2 linked regions of the Alligator mississippiensis genome follow. The protein of the gene in region 1 binds, or shares a complex with, the protein of each later gene. Links are inferred from orthologs where the notes say so. Each region holds a gene or a part of one and is shown on either strand. Other genes may lie near its edges.

The links. Proteins that work in one complex are often made in the same cells at the same time.
Region 2: the proteins of PIGT (region 1) and PIGS are in contact, whole or in part, in a cryo-EM structure (PDB 8IMY), measured with the Homo sapiens proteins. The link is inferred for Alligator mississippiensis from reciprocal best matches to the Homo sapiens genes PIGT and PIGS. Residues at the interface, in NP_057021.2 of Homo sapiens: Pro26, Arg27, Val63, Ser64, His65, Tyr66, Arg67, Lys71, Gln75, Lys79, Tyr80, Val133, Gly136, Lys191, Leu193, Pro194, Cys195, Ser196, Lys198, Ala199, Glu270, Pro271, Pro273, Leu274, Tyr526, Ile529, Cys530, Cys533, Val536, Ala537; in NP_149975.1 of Homo sapiens: Thr9, Glu12, Val13, Gly16, Ala19, Ala20, Phe23, Thr230, Pro238, Lys239, Tyr244, Ile247, Glu248, Val251, Gln256, Val270, Asp271, Ser272, Gln273, Ile274, Tyr276, Tyr277, Met279, Ser309, Arg310, Ser313, Ser314, Ala315, Ala316, Phe513.

What each region holds. Positions count from the first base shown.
Region 1 is NC_081832.1:7,988,133-7,992,663, reverse strand, and holds the start of PIGT (GPI transamidase component PIG-T), read right to left. Parts: upstream 3,213-4,531; 5' UTR 3,193-3,212; coding exon 3,003-3,192; intron 2,858-3,002; coding exon 2,680-2,857; intron 2,025-2,679; coding exon 1,897-2,024; intron 1,164-1,896; coding exon 1,063-1,163; intron 802-1,062; coding exon 715-801; intron 258-714; coding exon 170-257; intron 86-169; coding exon 1-85. UniProt on the Homo sapiens protein: Component of the glycosylphosphatidylinositol-anchor (GPI-anchor) transamidase (GPI-T) complex that catalyzes the formation of the linkage between a proprotein and a GPI-anchor and participates in GPI anchored protein biosynthesis.
Region 2 is NC_081837.1:1,026,550-1,031,080, forward strand, and holds the start of PIGS (GPI transamidase component PIG-S), read right to left. Parts: upstream 2,724-4,531; 5' UTR 2,636-2,723; coding exon 2,617-2,635; intron 2,222-2,616; coding exon 2,082-2,221; intron 1,970-2,081; coding exon 1,858-1,969; intron 1,525-1,857; coding exon 1,435-1,524; intron 1,124-1,434; coding exon 1,032-1,123; intron 532-1,031; coding exon 321-531; intron 1-320. Other genes in the region: ALDOC (fructose-bisphosphate aldolase C), read right to left, coding at 4,236-4,331. UniProt on the Homo sapiens protein: Component of the glycosylphosphatidylinositol-anchor (GPI-anchor) transamidase (GPI-T) complex that catalyzes the formation of the linkage between a proprotein and a GPI-anchor and participates in GPI anchored protein biosynthesis.

The DNA.
Region 1 (4,531 bases):
GAGATGTCCACATAGATTTTGCTCTCAGAGGCCAGAGGACAAGCTTCAGTGACAGTACGTGAAAACATCTTAAAAAGGGACCAGTCTGGGAAAGACAGACACACAAGTCAGCCAGAATGAGACTGAAGGTAGCTCCTCCTCCTACCATATGCTGCAGATTACTGGTTACCTTTCTTTCCTTGGCCACTGGAGAAGGTGTCGAAGACCACAGTGAGAGTTTGTCGGAGCTCCCAGGAAATGCTGAGGCATGAAACATCCTGGAGAAGATGACAGGATATACAAAAGATTATTCAATACAAACTTACTTTCCCAAAGGGCAAGATGCATTGTGACGGGCCATGAGACACATTTTAGAGTCCCAAGGGGACTAATTATGGAGTGGAGCATGGCAACACAAAGGCTGGAGATGGAGAGAATCCCATCTAGCCCATTCCCCAGGGAACAAGATAGAGTGGTTCCCTAGAATGCATCTTCCAGGGCTTTGTCTGGCACAGGTTCTAGTATCGCAAGAAATGAGGCTTCCTCCATTTTCTCCTGGAAACTGCTCTGAACACTACTAGAGCTCTATATTTGGAAACAACCCCAATATTTGAGCTATATGCTTCATTCCAAAAGCACTGAGATCTTATTCAGCTACTGCAAGATGCCTCCTAACTGCATTCTTGGAGGCACATAAGAAAGTTGCGGGTAGATCAAATTCAGGCCCAGACTCACCCTGCAGATGGGGCGGATATGCACTGCCTGTGAGTGGTAGCTGCTATGGAACAAGCGTTCAGCCTTCAGCAACACAGCAAGACCAGCCTGCAGAACGTAAAGGAGAAAATGCTATTAAATATCAAGCAGCAATCTGCAAAGGGGCTGGGGAATGTGTCCGAAAGGCTTGAAAGGACCTACTGAGGGCTTCAAAGCGCCAAATTTCCTGTCCCCCTGCTCCTACTGCAATAGAAGCATGACACCAGTGGATACTACAGGCATCTGGTACCATTTGCTGTTTAAGAACTTAGGCCCAAGCTCCTGGCGATGACTTGGTCAGGTAGCACAAAGCCTGGGCTGTGCCCTCACCTTTGAGCTGCATGGCAGCAGCTTCTTCCAAGGAGTGAGGTTCTCGGTGCAGACGACCTCACGGGGCAGGACAGCATATCTCAGGAGGTGGTGATCTGTGACTGAGATGGGAAGTGGAGGTTAAGCAGCCTGGGGCTAGTATGATCACGTGTGCTAAAGTAGAGCTACTCTGTCATCTGGCTGATCATGCTTAGGAAAGATCTAGAATTCCTTGAAGGGATGAGATCACTTTCAGCATGGATCCTGAGGACCAGCTAAGTGCCCCTCTGCAAGATAGTCCTCTCCACATTGAATAAACAAGGAAGTCTCCTGTCTTCAGTTGCAACTGTCTGTAATCCTTGTGCAGAAGGAAATGGGTCCTGTATGACAGGGCTTCTTGCACAATATCTTATGCTAAGGAGAGTACCTTGAGTTCACTGGTTCAAATCTAGCCCTAGTTAGTGGGGACTGGAAATAGCTTCCAGCTGCCCAGGAACCTGAAAAAAGTTTGGGGCTTCAGTCCCATTCTGACAGTAATGTAGCTCCCTGCATGCTTGTCACTGCCACAGCTGGAACTAACTGACCTTGTTCTCAGCACAGGCAGACCTCCCCCTAGAAGTGGTCTTTCCAGAGATGAATTGAGGCAAAACTAGCATCACTGATGCCCTTGCTGTTCCTGTCTACTAGATCTCAGCCATTCTAAGTTCACTTGCCAGAACAGTGTTTTGGTTGTCAGCATCCTCACTCCTCCCAGGACCTTGCTCTATGCCACCCATAGCAAAGCAAGCAATGCCTGGAGCTCCCCACACAGGGTAAAGCCGCCGCCACCCCTGCATAAGCACAAGTCTGCCTCACCATTGGCTAGGCCCAGAGGTTTGAATGATGCTGTTGGAGTGACTGTGTTGGTGGAGTCAATGAAGTTCAGGGAGGCACAGAATATCCCCGAGAGCATGTTGCTGAGCTCTTTCCAGGACTTGTCAACACTGAACAAGAAAGCCACAGATTACACCACTGGCCCTCTTCCCCAGATGTAAAGGGTCTGTGGGAAGTGAAGTTTCACATCAGGTGCTTGGAAAATGAACAGACCATTGCAAGGAGAAAAATGTCAAGATATGCACAGGTATTGCAACTAGAACTATCATCAGGCAGCTATTGAGCAAAGGCAAGGCCCCGGTAGCAGGGAGCACAGTCAGGTTCCTTGGATCTCGAGTGTATTTTAACAAACCACTTCCTCTCCTTGTATTGGCAGGACCTTAATGGTGTCCTTGTGCCCCCGCTTTACCTTTGGCAAATTAAAGTGTATTTTGGATGCTTTGGCCACTTGCGCCTGTAGCTGGGGGGAGGCTGGTTCTTAAGAGCAGGTGGAACAAACCCTTGCTTAGGGCGGTCTAGGCAAGGTGCTCCTGCCTGGAGCAGTGGCTGGGTTAGACAACCACCCGAGGTCCCTTCCAGCCCTGCTTTTCTGTGCTTCTAGATTCCCATGCAGTGAGCCTGCGCGTCCACTGCTACGCTGCAAGCAGCACCCGAGCCACCTGGTTCAAAGCCAGACCGAGTCCGTTTGTGCGGGCTGCTGTCTGAGGTGTGATAGCTGCACCCCCACTCAACTGGGAGAGAGGACCCAGGCTAGGAGAGACTTACTCGGTGACCGAGTCCTGGAACCAGACCCATAGCTCAGCTCCAGCCGGGGCCTGCAGGTGAGGCTGTCCCCAGGTCCGCGTGCGCCAGAAACCTTGGGTGAGGGACAGGTGCAGCTCGCGCACAGAGTACTTGGAGATGAGCTGCCCCAGGGCCTTGGGGAAGAGCCTGTAGTGAGAGACTGGGGAGGGCCAAGGTTGCACACCTGTGGGCACAGCTAAGCCAGCAGGCCCCGCCCCTTCCACTCACCTTCCTCGGCCAGGCCCCGCCCCTTCCATTCACCCTTCCTAAGCCAGGCCCCGCCCCCCGCTCCAGGCTCTGCCCACCTCCCTCCCGCTGCAGCTCCGAGTCCCAGCGGGTCTGGAACTGGAAGGTAGCGGCGAGGTCTCCGGACGGCAGCGGGCTGAGCAGCAGCTCCTCCCGCAGGCTGTCCTGGGGCGGCTCCAACGCCGCCTGCCCGGAGCCGCCGCGGGCCCCCAGCAGGAGCAAGAGCCCCAGCACCGCGGCCCGCTCCATTCCCGGGGCTTCCGCTTCCGACTCGCTCGCTCGCCCAATGGCGAGGTACTTCCGGCGCCGACCATAGAGATGCGCCGGTCTGGGCGCGGGTGAGGGCGGGGCGGTCCTCCGCGCTCTCCTACCCTGTCCGGCGGCTGCTAGTCGCAGCAGTCCTCGTTGCCCTGGGACGTGTCCGCACGCGCGAGCTCCGCGCCAAGCTGCACTGCGCTGGCGTAACAAGAGGCCTCGTCCAAGGCTGGTTTCTCAGACCCCTACTACGTTACCTATAGTGCACAATTCACTGGTCAGTCACGCAATAAATGTAGACTGGCCAGAAGTGCCAGGTAATTGTCACGCGCTAACAATGACTCTCCAGCTATAACAAAAAAGCCGACCAGCTCGAAAGTTAGGGCTTGAAGGCAGGTCACAACTCCGGAGGTGGTTTCTATGCAGCTTTAATCTGAGCGTGTAGCAGGGCCCTCAGGCCCCCTGTACACATTACATGTATTACACGTTGTGGCTGCTGTTGCTGCATTTGTAGGGTTACCATACATCTGGGTTTCCCAGACACGTGCTCTTTTTGGGTCCTCCGACTTCCGTCTGGGCATTTTTCTGAACTCTGAACAAACGTCTGGGATTTTGCTCTGCTCTGTTGGTGGGAGCAAGGGAAGGGTGATTGGAGGGAGTGGGGCATAATGAGCATCTGAGCGTGCATGCGCACATGGCTAGCGTGCAACCAGGCAGGGCAGAGGGACCAGGCTCGGCAGCTGGATGCAGGTAAGTGTATGGGGAGCAGGGTTGGAGGGATGGGGTTTGGGGACAGTCGGGTGTGAGGGATACCAGCAAGGATGTGGGGCTGTGGGTCGGGAGCGAGGGGCAACAGCATGGCTGGAGGGGTGGGGAACTGTGGGTCAGGAATGAGGGTCACTGGCAGGTCCAGGGATTGCAGGTTGGGACTAAGGGTGACCAGCATAGTTGGGGGGTGAGGGGCTGTCTGTTGGGATTGAGGGGTTCCAGCAGGGGCGGGGGGGCTGCTGGGTGGGAGCGAGGGGTGGTGGCCAAGGCCAGGAGGCTCTGGGTTGGGACTGAGGTGTCCACCTGACAGGTGTCTTTTTCTTTTTGAACTGGAAATATGGTAACCCTATGCACTTGCTAATGAGAGCTAGAATCAGGGGCAGGCTAATAATCCATGGGGGATGGCACTGGCACACATTTGGGATCACTTGTTCCTGTGGACTCAGCGCTAGGTCAGGTCTGTTCTTAGTCTGAGACTATGGTACCTGCAATGGGAAAAATTCAGAGCACCACAAGGCCCCTCAGTATTACCACCAGCATTGTTTCAATGGGGTGTTGATTTGCC
Region 2 (4,531 bases), on another chromosome or scaffold:
AGCAATGCCATGCAGCTCATGTCACACAGTGACCGCTGGCCCAGGGCCCCTGTGCCACCTACCCAGCCTCAGCACACCCCAAAGTGCCACCCTGTGCAAACCCTGAGCTGCAGCTCACCCAGTACCAAGAGGGGTAACATTTGGGCCTCAACAACTGCCCTGTGCCACAGGCAAAGACGACAGTACCGTCAGTACCACAGCCCCCGTGGGGGAGGGAATAGCCGGGCAAGCTTGGCACAGGATTCCCATGGGTGAGCAGTGCCCTGACTGCATGGGAAGGCATCATCCCACCCGGCCAGGCAGGCAGGCACAGCCCCTACCCAGGCTGGACTTGAAGGGGCGCCGGGTGTCTAAGCCGAGGTTGCCCAGGGGCACACGGTCCGACAGAGCAGCAGCGATGGAGTCGGGGGTGAAGGACATGGTCTGTGCGATATGCCGCACCCGGGCATTCACCGCAGTCAGGACATCCCCCGCGGCTGGTGGGCCCCTCACCACGGCGCTGCGGTGCTTCCCGATGTACACGCTGACCCCCTGCAGACAAGACCGGGCAGGGCAGCGAGAGCCAGACGTGGCAGAACGTGCCCACTCCACCCATTCCAGGGCAAGGCCCAGCCCATGGGGACGCCAGGATGACGGGGCTGGGAGAGCTGCAGGGACCCCTGCCCCAGCCCCTCAGGCTTGTCCCTGGGACAGGGATGGGGACAGAGCCTGTCCCGACAGTGAACAGCCAGGAGGGAAGGGGCAGAGAAACCCGTGAGGCAGACGAACAGCGTCCCTGCCTGCAGCAGTCGGGGAGGTCTTGCAGCTGCACCTAACCCAGGCTCGGCTGCTTCCCACGCCGCAGCCACCCTTGGGCAGGGTCAGAAGCAAGGGGATCTCGCTGGACAAGCTCCCACCCACTGCAGTCACGCCAGGGGCACCCACGAGCTGCTCCGGGGAGGGCAGCCCGTGATGGGACGCCAGGCACAGAGGGTCGGTCCCGAGCAAGATGGGCAGCTGGATGGCACTCCCAGCAGCAGGAGAGGCTGTACCTGTGGCAGGAGAGACGAGGCCTCTGGGATGATGTAGATGGTCAGTGAGCCCAGCGAGCCGCCCTGCAGTGGCAGCAGTGCCGCATCGGCCTCTGGAGAAGACGAGGACATCGGTCACCCCGGTGCTGGTGAACCCAAGGCAGGGCATCCCCACCACCAGCTCTTACAGACAGAGACCTCCGCACTGCCCCCACCCCAGGGTCCCAGCTTCTCCCCTCCCTGGGGCCGCCCAGCCCTGCCCGGCCCCTGCAGGTGGGGGAGAGGGAAGGGTAGCGTGCATCCCCCAGGGCCCTGGGGTAAGAGCTGCATCCCTCCGCATACAGCAACTTCCCAGGCTGCCCCACTCGCCCCCAGGGCACAGCCAGCCACCAGGACCATGCCCTGGGCTGCCCCGTCCCCACACCTTGCACTGTGCCCAGGGCCAAGGCTGCCTCCTCCTGGCCCGTGGCGCTCCGGTAAGCGGTCTCATAGCGGGCGGCGACGCTGGTCCTCACTGCGGGGAAGGGAGAGCGCGAGTGAGGCCACTGGACCCAGCCACGGGCTCCCCGGCCTCACCCCCACGCTGCGAGCCCTGCTGGCCAACAGTGCCAGCCCCGCTCCTGGAGATGCCCCCGCGTGCGCGGCTCCGCGCGGCCTGGCTGCGAGGATCCCCCAGGCTGGGGGTGGCCAGGAGAGCGGCGGTCGGTCAGGAGTCCCTGCCCTCTCCCCCCAGCGCCTGCTCTCACCAGGGCTGCAGCGAGACCCGCTCCAGCCTTGGCACAGAGGCACGAAGCGCCCCCGAGCACGGCAGCAGAAAGCACCCGGTCGCTGGAAACCCAGGGCTTACGGTTCAGCGGGGTCTCCTCCTCCCGCGTGTCGGCGAAGGGCAGCCGCCTCTGCTGGGCCGCGGGCAGGGAGCCCTTGGCGAAGACCACGGCGATGGGCACGGTCAGCTGGAACTGCGCAGAAGGCCGTTACCCGGGTCCGCCCGCGCCGGCGCCCCCGTGTCCCCCCGGCCCCAGGGGCGAGGACCCGCCGCCCCTGCCACAGCCGCGAGCGCCCGGCCCTCACCGCCAGCACGTCCAGCCGGGCGATGTGCGCGTCGGGCAGCGAGGCGCGGTAGGTCTCCGTCGTCTTCCACCACAGCGGCAGCCCCAGCAGCACCGCGATGGCCGCGAAGCACAGCGCCGCCCGCTTCCCGCGTGCCTTCTCTGGGGGCGCAGGGACGGGGTGAGGGGCGCTGCCGCCAGCACCCCCCACCCCGGACACGGGGGCTCCCCCAGCTGGGGGGGGATGGGACATACACCTGGGGGCTCCCCCAATTTAGGGGGGTGACAGCATGGACACAGGGGGGCTCCCCCAGATTTAGGGGCGGGGGGTGACAGCCTGGACACCTGGGTTCTCCCCCAGATTTAGGGGGGTTGATAGCCTGGACACAGGGGGGCTCCCCCAGATTTAGGGGAGGGGGGTGACAGACTGGACACCTGGGTTCTCCCCCAGACTTGGGGGGTGGGGACCCAGACACCGGGGCTCTCCCCCACATTTTGGGGGCGAGCCCAGGCCCCGGGAGCAGCACCGGCCGCCCCGCCCCCTCCCGGCTCCGCACCTGTCTCGTCCGCCGCCATCTTGCTTCCGGGCCGCGGAGCGCGTGGGAGGCGGGGCCTGCGTAGAAGCCAGCCACTCCGAGCCCGGTCGTACCGCGGACTGCCAATTGACGCAGACCGGGAAGCGGGGGCTTCAGGGGCCCGGGCAGAGTGACAGCGCTCTACGCCAATCAGCGCTGGGGGGCGGGGCAGGGCCGGATACGGCAGCCTGGAAGGGACATGACGTGCCTAGGGCTGCTTCGCCCGCGGGCTCGTGGGATTTCAGGTGCGCCTGCGCACAGCCGGAGGCACGTGGCGGGGCCTGGACGGCACGTGGCTTGGGGGGGGGGGGGCGCCCCCTGCAGACCAAAAGGAGCTGCGAGCCCCTCCCCCCCGGGCAGCTGTGCCCCCCTGTTCTGGGGCAGTAGTGTCCCCCTCCCAGACAGCAATGGGGCAGCGGTTCCTCCTCTATGGCCCTGCCCCAGGGTGGCAATGCCCCCCACCCCCCGGCCCTGCCTCTGCCTCTGCCCTGGGAGGCGGGTGCCCCCCCACATTCCCAGCGATGCCCCCACCCTGCGCAGCACTGGGGCAGGACAGGCGCTTGAGGGGGTCCCAGCACCCCCACGCACGCAGGGGAGGCAGCGCAGCCTGTCCCACCCCGCGCCACAGGTGGGCACAAGGGGCTGCACCCCTGGAGACCCCCCAGCCCCGGGGGAGCCCTCGCCCGGCGGCAGGACTGGGCCCGGTGATGGCAGCACCCGAAACCGTGACGCAGGAGTCTCCCGAGCTGTCCTGACACACATGTCCTTGATGCCACGTGAAGGGCAGTCGGAGGCAGCTCCGGAGCCGTGATTCAGCGGCTGGGCCCAGGCGCTCCGTCCCTCCCTCCCTCCCTGCCTGCCTGCCTGCCGGGGGAGGCTGCAAGCCGGCGGCTCGGCTCCCTGCCAGCCGGGTGCCACAGGCCGGCCAGGCCCCTGCAGCCAGGACCACCCCTGCAGCCCCGGCGCCCCATGGTCCCTCGGGCTCGGAGAGGGGCCCTGGCCAGGTGCCCCCGCGCCGCTCTCCTCCCCCACCGTGCCCCCCCCTGGCCCCCGCACAGACACAGCAGACGGCGTCACTCTCTACAGTTTATTCGTTAGACTATTTGGTACATCGGGTGCACACGGAGAACACAACACACGCGGCAGTAAGTGGCTCCCGCGGGCCGGCTCGCCTGCCACGGGGCAGGGAGCACGTGCCAGCGACAGCGACGGCGTCACAAGGTGCACTCTTGCTCATGGGGGGCAGCGCTGCCCTTGCCCCAAAGCGGGGAGGTCCCCCCTGCCCCGCCGGGCTCGCTCCCCTCCCACCACCTCACCCAGGGGGAAGCGGGGAGGAAGCCCCAGGCGACGCCCCAGCGAGTGCAGCCGCCCCAGCCCCCCACCCACGCTAGGGCATCGGGCACGGGCAAAGCACGAGAGGGGTCTGCGCTTCCAAGCAAGATGAGCTCCTGTTCCCCCTCTCCACGCCGCCTCTCTCGGGCATTGGCGGTTGGGCGCGGAGCGGCTACGTGGCTCCTTTGGCGGCTACGGACGAAAGCTGGGTGCAGTGGTGGCGGACACAGAAGGTAGCAGAAGGGGTCGGCGGGCTGGCGCCGGCCGGCTCAGTAGGCATGGTTAGCCACGTACAGGGACTGCCCCGCGGCGCCCGAGTCCTCTCCGCTGCCCTCGTACTTGCCCAGAGCTGCCAGGCCATTCACCTAGGATGCCGGAGAGACCCATCAGTCCACGCCGGGCACAAGCCCAAGCCCCCGACAAGGAGCGCAGACCACCAAGCCCTGCCCGCGACGGGCACTGCTCATGTTAGCATGCAGCCCCAGCCCAACGCACCAGTCCCACCCCCACGTCGCCGGCCACGGGCTCGTGGAAGCGCCAGGCCGCCCGCGGCCCAGGCAGGGAG